Linked DNA regions of Saccharomyces cerevisiae S288C. The main gene of each other region encodes a partner of the protein of the gene in region 3 in a complex. Each region holds a gene or a part of one and is shown on either strand. Other genes may lie near its edges. A codon is read from its position in the direction of its gene.

Evidence for each region. Proteins that work in one complex are often made in the same cells at the same time.
Region 1: the proteins of SNF2 (region 3) and ARP7 are in contact, whole or in part, in a crystal structure (PDB 4I6M), measured with the Saccharomyces cerevisiae proteins. Residues at the interface, in NP_014933.3 of Saccharomyces cerevisiae: Arg604 (codon at 3,830), Leu605 (codon at 3,827), Ser607 (codon at 3,821), Asn609 (codon at 3,815), Ser611 (codon at 3,809), Ala612 (codon at 3,806), Gln615 (codon at 3,797), Arg619 (codon at 3,785), Lys622 (codon at 3,776); in NP_015359.1 of Saccharomyces cerevisiae: Glu25 (codon at 1,825), Leu26 (codon at 1,828), Leu147 (codon at 2,191), Ser148 (codon at 2,194), Gly150 (codon at 2,200), Lys151 (codon at 2,203), Ser152 (codon at 2,206), Asp171 (codon at 2,263), Gly172 (codon at 2,266), Asp431 (codon at 3,043), Leu438 (codon at 3,064), Leu441 (codon at 3,073), Thr442 (codon at 3,076), Asn445 (codon at 3,085), Leu446 (codon at 3,088), Pro447 (codon at 3,091), Ser450 (codon at 3,100), Leu451 (codon at 3,103).
Region 2: the proteins of SNF2 (region 3) and SWI1 are in contact, whole or in part, in a cryo-EM structure (PDB 7C4J), measured with the Saccharomyces cerevisiae proteins. Residues at the interface, in NP_014933.3 of Saccharomyces cerevisiae: Leu427 (codon at 4,361), Leu430 (codon at 4,352), Ile438 (codon at 4,328), Lys439 (codon at 4,325), Val440 (codon at 4,322), Val441 (codon at 4,319), Asp442 (codon at 4,316), Ile443 (codon at 4,313), Asp444 (codon at 4,310), Asp445 (codon at 4,307), Pro446 (codon at 4,304), Val450 (codon at 4,292), Asp451 (codon at 4,289), Ser452 (codon at 4,286), Phe453 (codon at 4,283), Thr454 (codon at 4,280), His474 (codon at 4,220), Ala475 (codon at 4,217), Phe477 (codon at 4,211), Thr478 (codon at 4,208), Ile479 (codon at 4,205), Glu480 (codon at 4,202), Pro481 (codon at 4,199), His491 (codon at 4,169), Glu553 (codon at 3,983), Trp554 (codon at 3,980), His555 (codon at 3,977), Gln556 (codon at 3,974), Asn557 (codon at 3,971), Ser558 (codon at 3,968); in NP_015309.1 of Saccharomyces cerevisiae: Ser659 (codon at 2,491), Ile660 (codon at 2,488), Val661 (codon at 2,485), Arg662 (codon at 2,482), Asn663 (codon at 2,479), Tyr664 (codon at 2,476), Lys665 (codon at 2,473), Pro666 (codon at 2,470), Leu667 (codon at 2,467), Ile668 (codon at 2,464), Asn669 (codon at 2,461), Arg670 (codon at 2,458), Leu671 (codon at 2,455), Lys672 (codon at 2,452), His673 (codon at 2,449), Tyr674 (codon at 2,446), Tyr677 (codon at 2,437), Ile695 (codon at 2,383), Phe696 (codon at 2,380), Asn718 (codon at 2,314), Leu719 (codon at 2,311), Gly720 (codon at 2,308), Asn723 (codon at 2,299), Leu726 (codon at 2,290), Asn727 (codon at 2,287), Leu730 (codon at 2,278), Val731 (codon at 2,275), Ser733 (codon at 2,269), Ala734 (codon at 2,266), Asp735 (codon at 2,263).

What each region holds. Positions count from the first base shown.
Region 1 is NC_001148.4:637,773-641,478, forward strand, and holds ARP7 (Arp7p), read left to right. Parts: upstream 1-1,752; coding exon 1,753-3,186; downstream 3,187-3,706. Other genes in the region: HTS1 (histidine--tRNA ligase), read right to left, coding at 1-1,247. UniProt on the Saccharomyces cerevisiae protein: Component of the chromatin structure remodeling complex (RSC), which is involved in transcription regulation and nucleosome positioning. RSC is responsible for the transfer of a histone octamer from a nucleosome core particle to naked DNA.
Region 2 is NC_001148.4:519,367-525,478, reverse strand, and holds SWI1 (Swi1p), read right to left. Parts: upstream 4,466-6,112; coding exon 521-4,465; downstream 1-520. Other genes in the region: IRC15 (Irc15p), read left to right, coding at 5,246-6,112. UniProt on the Saccharomyces cerevisiae protein: Involved in transcriptional activation. Component of the SWI/SNF complex, an ATP-dependent chromatin remodeling complex, which is required for the positive and negative regulation of gene expression of a large number of genes.
Region 3 is NC_001147.6:854,620-862,033, forward strand, and holds SNF2 (SWI/SNF catalytic subunit SNF2), read right to left. Parts: upstream 5,640-7,414; coding exon 528-5,639; downstream 1-527. Other genes in the region: YPK9 (putative acid anhydride hydrolase), read left to right, coding at 6,556-7,414. UniProt on the Saccharomyces cerevisiae protein: Involved in transcriptional activation. Catalytic component of the SWI/SNF complex, an ATP-dependent chromatin-remodeling complex, which is required for the positive and negative regulation of gene expression of a large number of genes.

The DNA of each region.
Region 1 (3,706 bases), on a different chromosome or scaffold from region 3:
TTAATTCTTTGTTTGATCAAAGAAAATATTCTTTCAACACCAAATGAAATACCAACACATGGAATTTGAGTAGATTTTTTGCCGGAAGCTTCAGAGAACATGTTGACCAAATTATCATATCGACCACCGGCTGCAATAGAGCCGACACCAACGAATTCTGACGCGTCTTCTGCAGATTTGGCCTTCTTCTTCAATTCTGAAGCATTCTCTGGTGGAGCAGATGCAGAAGTAACAACTTCATAGATCAAACCTGTATAGTAATCCAAACCTCTTGCAAGAGAAAGATCAAAAGAGATGAATGAGTCAATGTCAAATGCTTCGGTATACTTCATCAAAGTAGCAATATCATCCAAACCTTGTTTAGCCTTTTCGTTTGAAGTAATGTTGGCATCTGCGGATAGAACAGCGTGAATTTCCTTCAAAGAACCATTTAATTTAACATACTCACCGATTTTATCAGCAGTTTCTTCGGATTGACCTTTTTCTTCGGTCATTTCCTTCTTGACTGCTTCCCATGGAGATTTGTCCAACTTATCGACAGCAGAAGAGATTTTCCTCACATCCTCATCTTTAACACCAGCGATTTGGAAGATCCCATCAAGAATCTTCCTGTGATTCAATTTGATTTTGAAATCTTTGATTCCCAAACTGGTCAAACCTTCCACTAAAATGGACAAACATTCGGAATCAGGAACCATAGATTCGAATGTGCCTGCAACGTCAAAATCACACTGGTAAAATTCTCTCATACGACCCTTAGTCATGGCTGGTTGGTCTCTTCTGTAGACTTTTGCAATGTGATACCTCTTGATACTCTGAATATTGTTCATGGCAACGTACCTGGCAAAAGGAACGGTCAAATCGTAACGTAAAGAACATAATTCACCACCCTGGTCCTCCAAGTTGTAGATCAGTTTGGAGTCCTCACCATACTTGCCTGCTAAAATTTCTCTTAACTCGAAAACAGGTGTGTCGATAGTGACACCACCATGCTTCTTGAATAGGCCAGATAAAGTGCTAAAAATGGCTTCTCTGATAACCATATCACTATCAGCCCAATCCTTCGTACCCTTAGGTGTTTTCAAAGACACTTGTAGTTTACCTTTCTTTGGAGCCTTTGAAGCTTTTAGAGCATTAGCAGCATTAGCAGTAGGAGCAGAAGTAGCAGCAGCGGTAGCGGATGACATCCTGATTATCGAAGACGACTTTATAGATGTGACTACTTTATTTAGTGATCTACTAAGCATTAAGCAAGAGACGAGCAGAAAGGAACTATTCTAAAGTAACACATTGGGCCGTAAGACTCATTTAAAAGCCCGGTCGATCAAGGCCATAAGTCATCTTCGAGCTGGTTAGAATTGAAGAAAAAAAAAAACTTGATAAAAAATTTCAAACAAAAAAATTATCGCCTTACACGGAAACGAATAGATTTACTTATTACACAAGAGAGAACAGTGATTATAAGGAAAGAAAGAGATATATACAATATTTCCATCAAAGACGTACGCATCACGGCGTTCATATAAGTATATCATCGGCAAGTCTTCACACCTTTCAATACTTAGACTTGTTCACCTTGAGTGATCCTGAAAAAAAAAAATGATGGCCGCGTTTCGAAGAAAATAAAGAAAAAATAAAGCAAACCTCAAACAAGAAAACAAAGCGGAAAATGGTAAACAAGAGAGATAGAACAGAGTAGTAGGCTATTAGCAAAAGCGCGAGAATTACTACATTATAAAGGATCTGTCAAGAATGACATTGAATAGGAAGTGCGTAGTGATACATAACGGATCGCACAGAACGGTGGCTGGATTTAGTAACGTTGAATTGCCACAATGCATTATACCCTCTAGCTATATTAAAAGAACAGATGAGGGGGGGGAAGCTGAGTTTATATTCGGAACCTACAATATGATAGACGCTGCGGCAGAAAAACGCAATGGTGACGAGGTGTATACATTGGTAGATAGCCAAGGGTTACCGTACAATTGGGACGCATTGGAGATGCAGTGGAGATATCTGTACGACACCCAATTGAAAGTTTCACCCGAGGAACTGCCACTGGTGATTACGATGCCTGCCACCAATGGTAAACCGGACATGGCCATATTAGAGCGCTACTATGAGCTGGCGTTCGACAAATTAAATGTACCAGTATTCCAGATTGTAATCGAGCCATTGGCAATTGCCCTATCCATGGGCAAGAGTTCTGCATTCGTGATTGATATCGGCGCGTCAGGCTGTAACGTTACTCCCATCATTGACGGTATTGTGGTGAAGAATGCTGTAGTGAGATCTAAATTTGGCGGTGATTTCTTGGATTTTCAAGTACACGAAAGGTTGGCTCCACTGATTAAAGAAGAGAACGACATGGAAAACATGGCCGACGAGCAAAAAAGGTCCACCGACGTTTGGTACGAAGCAAGCACGTGGATTCAGCAATTCAAGTCTACTATGTTGCAAGTAAGCGAAAAGGACTTGTTTGAGTTGGAAAGGTATTACAAAGAGCAAGCAGATATATACGCTAAGCAACAGGAGCAGTTAAAACAAATGGATCAGCAACTTCAGTACACGGCGTTAACGGGAAGCCCCAACAATCCGTTGGTTCAAAAGAAAAATTTTCTATTCAAGCCATTAAACAAGACTTTAACCTTGGACCTTAAGGAGTGCTACCAATTCGCAGAGTATCTCTTCAAACCTCAACTGATATCAGACAAATTCTCACCAGAGGACGGACTGGGACCGCTAATGGCAAAATCAGTCAAGAAGGCCGGCGCTAGTATAAATTCAATGAAGGCCAATACCTCCACCAACCCAAACGGATTGGGTACAAGCCATATAAACACCAATGTTGGCGATAATAACAGTACTGCCAGCAGCAGCAACATATCACCAGAACAAGTATACTCGCTACTGTTGACGAACGTCATCATCACAGGATCTACCTCTCTGATCGAAGGTATGGAGCAACGCATAATAAAGGAGCTGTCAATCAGGTTCCCGCAATACAAATTGACAACTTTTGCCAACCAAGTCATGATGGACCGTAAAATCCAGGGATGGCTGGGCGCCCTTACAATGGCCAATCTGCCATCATGGAGCTTGGGAAAATGGTACTCTAAGGAAGATTACGAAACGCTGAAAAGAGACAGAAAGCAGTCGCAGGCTACGAACGCAACAAACTAGTGGTAAGGCGCAAATATCCAAAAGGGATTGTAGGCGGCTAGAAGGAGATGAGATCTCGACCCATTTTTCTCAGCGCCGGTAGTAGCTATCAGTAAGGAGTAAGCGGGTTTCCTTCAAGATTCAGTCCACCCCCTACTTTGAGTGAGGGACATATAAACAAACGCGATAACTCGATGAACCCATTCTAATATAAAAAAACTGTATAAATAGTTATATAGAGATGAACTCTAAGCTAGTGAGGCCCACTGTAAACAGCCATTTTTCAATATGCGCTACCCGGCGGCGGAATATCGTCCCAGCTACATGATAGCCGCTTTTTTGTCTCTCTTTGTCCCACCTGTTCAAAGACATTTGGTAATCAGTTTGTCAGGACAATAGTAAACAAAAGTGCGCAAGTACACATGCGCTGCACGTGCGGCCGGAACAATGGCGCTTTTGGCTCGTCCGGATGATGCGAAAGGGAAAATAAAATCTCGCAATCGGAAAAACACTCGCGAGAACCAAAACAAGGATCCCCTAA
Region 2 (6,112 bases), on a different chromosome or scaffold from region 3:
GCCGAACAGCTTCTGAAGCGATCTTGACTTTGTGGGCAGCTTGAAATTTTCTTGGATGATTCTGTCCTATTTGAGCTTTACCTCCTCCCATCGAAAGGGCGAAGTCACACCGTTTTCAAAGGTGGAGTGTTACCCCACCCCCCACGCTGACTCCACATCTGACTCTCTACCGTTTTATTATAGCGAACGTTAACTCTGAATGTATGTGTGGTGTGTATGAATTGTATTTACTGCCTGAAATGGAGTCATAAACTCCTTTATACAATTTCAAGGAATTTTTGTAGCCGCGACGGGACCAGTGGGAAGTTACTAAAACCATTGTTTAGTTGAGCCGCCCAAGATGTGACTTCATGGCAGCTATACGTTCATTTGGGCTTTTGGCACTAAAGGCGCTCTTCCGACTGTATTGTTTCCATAAGGTCTATTATATTAGTTACAACATTTTATATAGGTTTATAAAAAGAAAATAGTGCGCAAGGAAGAAATAAGCAGTAAAAGAATATTGTTTAAAAAAATCGCATCATTCCAAATTGGTTAGGATATCATTTTTTAAATTGTAAAGTAATTGATACTGGTTTATTATTTGAATATCAACTGATGGATTAGTGAATAACTGGAAAATTTCTAAATCCGTGGGGAACAAATTTGGAATCGATGCTATTTTTTTTAATATTTCCGGGTCGTTGTTTAGGCAGTTTTCAAAACAAATACTTTTTTCAACCAAACATTTGATTAACTGAACACAGGATATGTTAATTGACGGTAGGAGCACCTTTGAATAATTTTGTTGCTGTAACAAAGTATTCTTACTTGTGGAATTGTTAATATTCAATATTATCTCACTTAACTTCAATAGTCCAGATCCAATATTTTCTTCAGAGCTCAACCACACAAATGGTAAATTCTTGTTGAAATTGAAGCTAGAATCTTTGTTGCCGTTATTGTTACTGTTACTGTCTGAATTATTCTCACTGATTTCAAATACTTCATTGGATAACGGCAATATTTTTTGTACAATGACTAAGATGCTAGTTAGACTCTGAGAAATTACCGGAGAAAATTGGTCGATCAGCAAACTTGGATCAGCTGATTGCGATAACACTTGCTGCAGCGGTATGGCAGAAAATAAAAACGAAACCACATCATTTAGCAAGTTGTGCCTATTGTTATTATTTTTATTGTTATCATTGTATAAATTCAAAAGTCTTCGTAACAACTTTTTGTCCTTGTGGTTGTTGTTACTGTTGCGATCATAGAGGTTGTTACCTGTGTTTTTGTTCAGAAGGATTGATTTGAAATAATTTAGGTTCGGTTTTTCCAATGAAAATAATTTGGCCAAAATATCTACACCGAAAGTTTGATATTTTCCCCATTGCAACTGGAATTCGTTGAAGGTCAAAGATTCAGAGCCAAATGATGACGAAGACGCCATTGGATTGAGTTTTGGTTGACCAAAACTTATGACTAGAATAAGAATTAACAAGCAATCAATGGACGAAGCGATCTCTAATAAATGAGAAATATTTGATAAAACAATAACCAAATCCTTCTTGAAATTTAGTATTTTCCTATTGCATGTAAAGTTTTCTGGATGGATTAAGACTAACCAAAGTAGATCAGATATAAATCTCTTTAGGTAAAAATTTCTCGACATGATTCTGGAGTTGTTATCGGAGAATGAAATATTCCTCAAAATCATCGAGATGGTAGACAGTTGATCGTTAATCAGAACTTTGGGATCCTCTGCCCCTCTGGTATTTATTTTTGTAAATGGATCATCAATTTCATCCTTGATTTTTTTCAAAGAAGTCAAATAAGGAGTTCTGTGAATTTTCAAAGGAAATTGGTTAGGGAGGAATCTTATTGGTTCAGGCAATAAGTCCCACTGTTTAACTGCGGGAGATGTCGACTGCATACTTATAAAACATTCAGTGTCGAGATCAGGCTCCATTTCAGTAGGAGTAGGGGTGGGCAATTGATTACCTGTTAAAGAATCTACCAGGATAGTGACTTTTTCATCGTTAGAATCATTCGGTGTAAGTGTAGCGTTGTTGTTTACCTTTTCAAAAATTTTATCAACCATTTTATCGTGTTGGGTAACATAGTATTGATTTGATCCAGCATCCTCATAATAATAGTCAGAAGTGTTTCGATGGTATGGAACAACATTTTGTGACAAATTTGACAGTAAATTCATGCCGAGTATTGCCAAGGAGTCTAATAATTCAGGGTATTTGACCAGAGATATTTTTAAGTTCGAGTCAGCGCTTGTGACCAACAAGGTGTTCAAGGCGGTGTTTATTTCTCCAAGATTCTTCGATTGGAGGGACATTGATAAAGCATGTAAATTAATTGCACCTAACTCTGGCGCGAAGAGAAAAATTGGCTTGTTGGAATCTATTTTCTCTCCTATTTTAGAGATGTAATTGATATCGTAACCATTGTAATGCTTGAGGCGGTTGATTAGGGGTTTGTAGTTCCTAACAATTGATCTCTTGTAGACTTTAGGCAATTTTTTTAGTTCGATTTCATATTGTTGACGTAATTTTGTCTCTAATAGCAATTTCTGTTGCCTTTGTTGATCCTCTAAAAGTTTTTGTTGTCGTTTCTGAAAATCCTCCCTTTCTTTACGTTCTAGTTCCAATTCCTTTTTGGTCTTTTTTTTCACTCTTTGCTTTCTTGGCTTCTTAACTTGCTGTTGGCCAATATTGTTATTATTTACGTTGATATTAATATTGCTATTCAAGCTTTTTGGAGTGTTTGCTGAAACCGGAACGATCCCTGCTTCTGTTCCTGGTGCTGCTGTAGCAGGAACGGACGCGCCAGGAGCCGCGGGGGTTGGTGCTGACGATGCACTATTAATGTTATTGTTGGCATTGGCCAATGCAGCGGCCTGCTGCTGTTGTTGAACTTTCTTCAATAGTTCTTGTAAGAACTGTTGCAAGAATATTCTTTTCGCTTGAGTTTCCTTTATACCTTCTTGGGAAATCATGTGTCTTTCGTAAGGTAATAAAATTCTAAAATAGATTGATTCTAATTGTTGGTAATCGGAAATTTGCAGCCTTTGGGCCACCATAGACCACTGTTGGGTCCTTGTTACTTGATCTGCACCACCGAATTTTTGAACCAACATATAAAGATAAAAAAGATTTATTTTTCTGTTGCCGATTTCTGGTATTGATTGTAACGGCATATTTCTTTTTTTACAGTTTTCAATCAAAGATTTCATAAAAAGTTCATATTGTTTGTTATTCAATTCAGTAGATATTTTCTCTTGTAATGCCGGGTTCAGACTTTGTAAAATAGATCTTTGTTGTTGCTGCCGTTGACTCTGCAAAAATTTGGGATTCTGTTGTTGCTGTTGTTGCTGTTGTGGTTGTTGATTTTGCTGTTGTTGATTTTGTTGCTGCTGCTGCTGCTGCTGTAGAGCCTGAAAACGTTGCTGCTGCTTTTGCTGCAAAGCGGCAAACATTGCAGCTCTTTCAGAGAACACTGTATTTGCGTTTGAAGTTGAATTATTGGTATTAGCGGGAGTTGCAGCAGGCACGGCAGTGACATTATTGTTATTGCTCGTTTTATTATTGCTGTTATTACGCATATTATGGTTATTACTGTTGTTGTTGTTGTCACTTGTGTTCGGAACAAATTCATTGCTTGCAGAGGATGATCTGTCCATTGAATTTGAAGCAGCGTAATTAGAAATAAGCTGGTTAGACGTCAAATTACCATTATTGGAAGCACTGTTATTGAATGGCAAAAATTGTTGATTTGCATTCGGAGTAGAGTTAGAGTTTGTGTTCGGAGTAGAAGATGAGGAATTTTGACTGATGGATTGAACATTGGTGATAAAATGGGGTGTTATTACATTATCGTTCGCAATTCCGGTGCTATTATTATTATTGTTACCGCCATATAGCTGTTGTTGAGCTTGAAGAGGTAAATTGGAAGAATCAATGATTGAATTCTTGGCTAAAATAGCCTGAGGAGACAGGCTGTTTAAATTTGTGTTGGAATTGTTTGAGTCATATGGAGAATTGAATTGGGGAGACTGGTTCTGAATGAAATTAGCAGCTTTTCCACCGGTAACATTAGCAGGAGCGGCATTATTAACGACTGCTGTTGGAGAAGTAAAGTTCGTGCTGGAGGCTACCGTGTTACTGTTATTGTTATCATTGTTATTACTATTACTGTTGTTATTGTTGGAATCCAAATTCTGGTCAAAAGGTTTTGGGTCGAAAAAATTCTGAAAATCGTCTACACCACTGGCTCCGGTATTCGTATTGTTGTTATTAGTATTGTTATTAGTATTACTACTATGGCCTGTGCTATTGTTGTTATTGGTATTATTAGCAGGATTATTATTATTATTAGTATTATTATTATTAGTATTATTGTTATTGGTAGTAGTAGTAGTAGTAGTAGTATTATTATTATTATTATTATTATTCAAATTAAAGAAATCCATCTTTATTTATTACTATTTTTATTATTACTATTTTTATTATTATTATTATTATTATTATTATAAGACACGAAAAGAAAGAAAATAGAGATAGAAAAAGAAAATTTTAAGAATAATGAGTGTAATAGGAAAATAGCCGCCAGTCAGTGATTATTACCTGGTGAACAATAATCTGCAATCCGTGAGAGGAAACAACGCGAAATGCCAAAGCAGAGATGGTGTAATAAGGATAGAGCCACACAACAATACTTTCTAGAAAAATAAATAATAAAAAAATAAGGTAAACAAAGTGTAATCAGTTGCCTTGCCGTATAGTGTTTTGCGGTATAAATATTGTTATTCAATACGAATGATGAATACCGGAAGGTGGTTATGACTAAAACGCAATGTGAATATGATTACAACTGGCAACAACCACAACAGAAACAACAATAATGCATAGTGGTAATAATACGTAAAGTCAATCAGCGTTCAGTTTTAAAAAAAATCTTTTCTCGGTGCTTTGGGGAAGGAGGGGTGGCGTCGTTTCGTAATCGGAGATACCCAAAGTTCATATCACGATAAACGTCAGTTCCGGGTTAGAATAAATTTATGCGGTAGTTTCTGTGCGAACTTGAGTGCGGTGGCATTTTCCTCCGGCGAGGCCTGGGTGGAACACTCAGGCAGGGGGTACACCCAGACCTGCAGGCATGCATCTGCTGTTTCGGCGGCTATTTAACATGCGCACGATTTTACGAGAGGAGAAGAGAAGTATGATATAATTAACGGTGAGCATTTTTGGTAATGGGAGGTGAAGACGAAATATTAAGCACGATGGAGGATTTTGCGGCAGTTTACGATGTCCTGGTAATTGGTTGCGGGCCTGGTGGCTTTACTGCAGCGATGCAGGCTTCGCAAGCAGGCCTGCTCACAGCATGTGTTGACCAGCGTGCCTCGCTGGGGGGCGCCTACCTTGTAGACGGGGCAGTCCCGTCCAAGACCTTGTTATATGAGTCTTATCTTTATCGGCTGCTACAACAGCAAGAACTTATCGAGCAACGTGGCACGCGGCTGTTTCCTGCAAAATTCGATATGCAGGCGGCCCAGAGTGCACTCAAACATAATATAGAAGAGTTGGGCAATGTGTATAAACGTGAGCTATCTAAAAATAATGTTACTGTGTATAAAGGCACGGCTGCTTTCAAAGATCCTCACCACGTTGAGATTGCGCAGCGCGGCATGAAACCGTTCATCGTAGAGGCGAAATATATTGTTGTGGCGACCGGATCTGCGGTTATTCAGTGTCCTGGTGTTGCAATAGATAATGACAAGATAATTTCATCTGATAAGGCATTGTCACTGGATTATATACCTTCACGTTTTACTATCATGGGAGGAGGTACAATTGGACTAGAAATCGCATGCATATTCAATAATTTGGGCTCTCGGGTTACTATCGTTGAATCTCAAAGCGAGATCTGTCAAAATATGGACAATGAGTTGGCTTCTGCCACGAAGACCCTCTTGCAGTGTCAGGGTATAGCTTTTCTTTTAGACACTAGAGTGCAGCTCGCGGAAGCCGATGCTGCCGGTCAGCTGAACATCACCTTGCTTAACAAGGTGTCAAAGAAAACATATGTACATCATTGCGACGTCTTGATGGTTTCTATT
Region 3 (7,414 bases):
CTCATTTCTAATGAGTGGTAAATACATTTGTGGGAAATATCTTTAAGGCCATCTCGGACCTGTATATAATCTCCGAGTATTTCCATTAAAGATGAATCAAATACATGAAATATCTATTAAAGACATATACTCAAGGAAAAGAAGTAGTAGATATATCTTCTTTATATATATTGCCCTGTGTTGCTAGCAGGGTGTTGGAACAAATAATTTGTTCCGTATTGGAAAATTTATAATTAGGTCCAAGAACAAGTTCACTATGATGACGACATATTACTTTGTTCAAAGAGATGGTTTAAAATAAATATGTATAGCAGAATTATAAGAGGCGAAATCGATCAATTAGTTGAACAATTAACTTAAAATCTAATATATATAAATATATATATATATATATATAGGAAATATACGGCACGTTATACTAGAGATATTAAACATCCCAACTCGGTTAATGGGTACAATAAAAAAAAGAGGGATTAATGTTTGTCTACGTATAAACGAATAAGTACTTATATTGCTTTAGGAAGGTACTATACACTCGCTTCTGTCATGCTCGAGTCCGCTTCATCTGTGAAAGATTCAGCCACGCTTGAAGTAACAACAGGAGGCAAGACGAGGGGTCTGGTGCCATACTGTTCATCAAATTCAGTAAAGTCGAGTTGTGAGTTATCGCCCATTATCTCACAGTATTTCTTCGTAACCACTTTTTCCAGTTCTAAAGAGTCTTCGTATACTACTGAACCCTCAGTATTGTATATCCTAGCATTGGAAAATATCAGATGAAAGTCTTGAAGGGTCTCTTTAAGGGAGTTGTAAGCTAGCGTTTCAATATGCGTGTTAATATTATCAAAGGCGACAGGGTACTTAATAATCATATAGTAGTCGGGATATAGTGCTTTGGAAGGTTTGGAGAGGAAAATGTCAGAAAGTTTCCTTCCAGCTTCATTTTCATAATTGAGAGCAAAGTGGTATAAGTCTAGAGCTTGTTTAGCAACTTTCTCTCTAATATCAATAGGACTCGTTGCCGCAGCGGGCGTGCGGACATAATCAAGCCCATTTCTTGCTTTTGGCGGCCTTCCTCGTCCACGTCCTCGCCCTCGACCACGACCACGACCGCGACCACGGCCCCTTGTTGAAGTTCTTGCTGATTTAACAGATGTTTTTCCCGCTGTACGTGGTTTTGGAATGTCCATAAAATCCTCACTGGGAGAGTTATCGCCAGTAACTGGACTTGATTCAAGCGCTGGTGGTTCAGAATTTTCAGATCCTTCAAGTTTCACTTTCTTAGGTCTTCCACGGGGCCTTCCTGCCTTTCTCTTTTTAGACAAGAAATCATCGTCATTCATTGCCAAATCCGTATCTGCCCGATCTTCGGCCGATATATTATTAATTCTAGGACCGTCATTATCAGCGTCAATGTTTTCGCCTTTAATTTCTCCATTCCCATCAATCGCCTCGCTCTTATCTTCCTTCTTTGTTCGTTGTTTTCTTGCCTGCTTGTCATTTTTTTCATCATCGCTAACTTCAAATTGTCTTAACCACTGTTCTTCAGACATATTATCGTTGTAAGTTGCCGTCTTACGTTCTCTTGCACCCCTTCCATTGTAAACAGCAGCAGATTCTGATTCTTCACGTTTGAGCTCGGCACCAATATCTCTACTGTAAATATCAGGTAATTCACTCTTTTCTAAGAGACGGCTCTTTACTCCCAATTCTTCCTCCTTCTTTGATCTATCTTCATCCATCCTTGTAAGAACAGCCATTTCTTCGTCATTTCGAGCAAGAATTTCGTTGATTTCTGAGTCTTTTAACTCCTCTTCTTCTTCAACACCAGACTCTCTTTTCTTTCTACGTTCCTCTTCTGCATCCAGCAAAGATCTAAGCAACGCTTCTTGTTCCTCCGATGTAGATTTGTTATCGAATTTACCTGCTTGAATGACTTTACCATCGATATCTAGCTTCTTGTAGGCTCTCTCTAGGATAACTTCTTCAACTGAATTCGTAGTAATCAATCTTAGAATTCTAACTTCATTCTTCTGACCTATTCTATGCGCTCTATCCTGAGCTTGCAAATCTTGATGAGGATTCCAGTCAGTATCAAAAATAATGACAGTGTCTGCAGTTTGTAAATTTAAACCCAAACCACCCGCTCTAGTTGATAAGATAAAGCACAAGTATTCAGAATCAGGGGCGTTAAATAGACGTAACAACTCACTACGTTCATCAGATTTTGTATGACCATCTAACCTCAGGTACTTGATATTAATGTACCTTAAAAAATCTTCCATAATATCCATAATTTGGGTCATTTGAAAAAAAATTAATACTCTATGCCCAGTTGCCTTAAGCTTAGGCAAAATTCTATCTAATAGTTCAAATTTACCAGCAACACGCCAAATATCATCATTCGTTTCTCTTGTTGGATTGATTTGGTCCTCAACTTCTTCAAATACAAAAGGATGATTACAGATTTTCTTTAGTTGCATGATTTGATTATTGAAACCTCTTAAACCTACCATTTTCTTATTATTTTGATCACCGATAAAAAGACGACGATATTTCAACATTTGTTGGTACATAATTTGTTGTAAAGCGCTCATTTTGCACTTCACTACCTTCTCAACTTTATCCGGTAATTCTTTTTCTACATCCTTTTTCAAACGACGCAATAAAAAGGGTCTCAAGACTTTATGCAATCTCCTGATAACCAAAAGCGTCTCTTCTTCACTCAACTCAATTTTATCTTGCCCACCGGTGTTGGCAAAGGGTGTATTGAACCATTCATCAAAAGATTTCACGGAATTGAAAATCTTGGGTAACACAAAATTCAATAAGGCCCATAATTCTGGCAAGTTGTTTTGAAGTGGTGTACCTGTCAAAATTAATCTATAATCTGCATGGTAATGTGTGTTCAAGGTTAAAGAAAGCTTGGATTGCGCATTTTTCATTCTATGGCCTTCATCAATAATCATATGGACCCACTTGACCTTGGATAAAAGTGCTCTTTCTTTAATAATATACTCAAAGGTAGTCAGAACTACATCAAATTCACCTGCCCTTATTTTAGCCTGTTTGGCTTTCCTCTCATTTGGCGAACCTTTAAATGATATAGTTCTTAAGGTAGGAGCCCATTTCGCGAATTCACTGCTCCAATTTGACAGTGTAGATAAAGGAACAATGACTAAATATGGCCCACGAATATTCTTCATTTCATATAAATATGTAAGTAAGGATATCGTCTGGATAGTCTTACCAAGACCCATTTCGTCTGCTAAAATACCATTTAAATGATTATTGAAAAGCGAAACCATCCACTGTAAACCCTTGATTTGATAGTCCTTTAAGGTACCACCAACCAATATTGAAGGCTGCTTCTTGATATCTTCTTTAATTCTATGTGCGACATTGTAATAATCGACGTTAGAATTGTCGTCGTCGTCATCATATTCTTCATCCTTCATCTTGGGGACCATGGACAAATCATCCACTTCCTCCGATGCTTCCTTTATGTGGGAATCAATCATTTCTTTAGTGTACTTTTGTTGATCTTTCACGGCTCTTGTTAAAGAATCTAAAAATGCGTTTGTTTGCCTTAGAAGATGTGTAATTCTTGTATCTTTGGTTTGGTCTAATAATTTTATATAGGCTTCCTCATCGTTCGCCTTTAAAGCCTGTAAACGTTCTTTTGCCTTTTTTTCAGCTCTCTTTTGCTCATCCCTTTCTAAATTAGTATGCGTAGCAATGAGTCTATGGCCAAACTTCAACCTTTTATTCTTTTTATCTTGTCTTCTATTATATTGATTGATGGCGGATTTATTCATCGACTTTAATCTGGCCACTGCCTCAGTCTTCTTCCTTTCTAACTTAAGTAATTCATGATTCTTATAAAGTTGGTTTGTTAGCAATGCATCTTGAACGTTGATGTTTCTTATTTTCGAAAGAAAATTTGGATGTGTATTGGTTAATAAAGAATTTTGATGCCATTCAAATTGTAATACATGACCTCTTACGGCTTTTTGTAACGGTAATAATTGTAAGGCGTAGTAATCGTAAAGAGCATTTTCCCTGGTTGATTCCGTACATTCGTCATTTAGTAGCTTATCCAAACAGTCATTTACCGTAGTATCTAGGTTCAATGCAATTAAAGTTTGGTAAATGTCAGTAGCGGTATGTGTGTCAATACCAACCGGTAGAACGCCAGGTTCAATAGTAAACTTTGCATGATCCGAATTGGCCAATAAAGTCTGATAATCGATATTACTATGTGAGATATTGGGCATCGTAAAAGAATCAACCATCATATCAGGATCATCTATATCTACCACTTTTATTCCTTCCTTATATTGATCTTGAAGGACGTTTAAAGGAACGGGTTTCTGCGGTTTTGGCGGGTTATTTTGCTCGGTGTGGGTCTTATTACTATTAGGAGCTGTTTTAGCTACGTTTGAAATGGTTTCGTTTTCCTCTTTTTTCGATTCTGTTTGCGTGATTGGAGTGCCACTTACAGTTTGCGAATTTTTATCGAGGGTGCCATTCTTCGCATTATGTACACTAGATGGACCAGCTGGTGAAACAGATGCAAAATTTTCGTCTTTGCTATCTAAAGGTGCATTTCTGGTAAGCCCAGAAACGTTGTCAGTGTTAGTGTTATTGTAGTGGGAATTGGTGCCGGGTTGCTGCGTATTGTTGCCGCCATTGAGATTTGATTGGTTATTTTGATCTGTGGGTTGTCTTCTTCTCGCAAACTCACTCAAAGACAGTAACATTCTTTTGAAATCTGGAGGATGGTTAATAGATTTTTGGATAACAGCCTGAAATTCAAACGGAATAGGCTTTCTATTTACTAGACATTTTAGAGATGTGATTTGGGCCTTTAACAGTTCGGATTGCTCGGCAGTAAACATTGTCATGGGTAATCTTCTCCCCTGTTGCAGTCTCGCTTGTGCTTGTTGTGCCTGTTGTGCCTGTTGCGCTTGTTGCGCCTGTTGTGCTTGGAATTGTGCCTGCTGCATCTGCGCCTGCTGGGGCATAGGAGAATTTATCTGCGAACCTGGCATCACATTTGAATCCTGTATGTTGTGTTCTTGTAATGATCGATTTTGCGGTTGAAGCTCGGAATTATTAAGGTTTAAGTTATTATGGTTTGAGTTATCTGGTTTCTCCGCAGCATTTTCTCCATTGTTTGCTGGTGTTGGTGAAAAATTAGTTGCATTTAATGAACCAACCGAAGATTGCCGTTGTGGTAGCATGTTATTACCACCATTGCTATTTAATGGCATCTGTGTTTGCATGATTGGTGATTGATGAGCAGAAGTGCTAAAGGTCTCATTTCCATTCAATTGCATATTCGGAGCTAAATGCGGGGAAGCAGAAGCAGAAATGTGCGAGGAAGCATTATTCGGCAGTTCTGCTTGATCTGAAGAATTTGGAACAATATTTTGCTGAGAACCTGAAATGCCTTGCTGTTGGCGTTGCATTTGTAATTCTTGTCGCTGCTTGGCAGCAAATTGCAACACTTTAGTCAAATAGATAAATTCCGGCACACTCGGAGCGTTCATTCCGTGTTCATTTCTCAAATGCTGCCATCTTAAATAGCAGCGGTTGACCTCTTCGTTGCTAAATTGACGCTGTGGTATGTTCATGGCAGATAATTAATCGAAAGTCGTGAAAATAGCAGAAAGTCGCGATTAGAGAAACAACAGAATAGCTGACCTTCCCGATGATTTATATACAAAAGGTCCACGTACGTCACAAATATCTTCTTTATTGAGACTAGAGGTAACCTTTCTTTTAACTTATTGTCCTACCGCCTCAGGATGGCCCCGTTTCGTCAATCAATTTGTTGATATTTGTCTTTCAAACGCGGTTTTAACATATCGCGAACAACGGTATTCGGGTAACAGCCTATCACTATTTTTACCGGCGGCTATTTTTCCTAAACCTAGTATATATACGCGAAAATTGGCTACCTGCAAAATTCCAATAGTGGCGAATGTATTGGAATTAATCTGCAAGGAAAATAAGCGTTAGGAACTTCAACTGTATTTTGCTCACTAATTCTTCTTCATCATGTCTTCTTCTTTTTTTTTCAATTACTTGTTAGTTCTTAGTGTCCTTATGTTCACTCAGAATAGCCATTAAGAATCGTGTCTTTTTGGAAGTGAAGGAGTTTCAATAAAAAGAAAAAAGCGAATATTTCAACACTGTGTTCTAAGAAAAGGCTCTATAGCTTTTTTTATTAGTTTTATTAATTTGAAAAATGCCTTGTTTGTTTTATATATATATATGTGTGTATTTAGGGCAGCCGCGGCCAACAGGGGGTATGGGTATGAAGAGGTGATAGAAGAGTGAAAAATGAAAAAAAATGGAAATCAAGGAAAGAGTAGTGAAAAAAAGAAAAAAAGGAAAAAAGGGCAAAAAGAGAACGCAATACCATAGAGTTGGAGGTGTTGGACTTGTGAATTTATTTTTGATTGAAAATAGTTCAGAGTCAATAGATTCTTCTTTAAAATAAAAAGGAGCCCAGACTTACTGATAGATCTTGCATATACTCCGGTAATGGATATTCCCTCTTCAAACCAAATTCAACATGGCCAAAGGAGTGAAAGGAACCGAAGAATGCCGAGGGCTTCTTTTTCTTCTACAGCCACTACTTCTACGGCGGCCACATTGACTTCCGCGATGGTACTGGATCAGAACAATTCGGAACCGTACGCAGGTGCAACATTCGAAGCCGTGCCAAGTTCTATTGTATCATTCCATCACCCTCATTCTTTTCAATCAAGCAACCTCCCAAGTCCGCATTCTTCAGGGAACCTAGAGCAGAGAGGCCGCCGATTGACTGAATCAGAGCCTTTAGTATTATCCTCGGCTGAACAGTCTCGAAGCTCTTCTAGAAACCCTTCTCATTTTCGATTTTTCACTCAGGAGCAAATATCCAATGCTGAAGGCGCTTCCACGTTAGAAAATACAGATTATGACATGGCCTGGGATGCCACCCCCGCTTATGAACAAGATAGAATCTATGGTACGGGCCTATCTTCCAGGCGTTCTTCTATTCGAAGTTTTTCCAGAGCATCATCTCTCTCAAATGCAAAGTCTTATGGATCTTTCAGTAAGAGGGGTCGCTCTGGTTCAAGGGCACCACAAAGGCTGGGAGAAAATTCTGACACTGGGTTCGTTTATCATTCCGCTACACATTCATCATCCAGTTTATCGAGATATACGACCAGAGAAAGAATTCCTATTGAACTAGAAAGTCAAACAGATGAAATACTAGAAGACGAGTCTTCTACACATTCTTTAGAATCTTCAGATAGTAGGCGATCTGCAAGCGAAAATAATAGAGGAAGCTTTTCTGGTCATGATGATGTTCATAATCAGCATAGCGAATATCTAAAACCTGACTATCATGAAA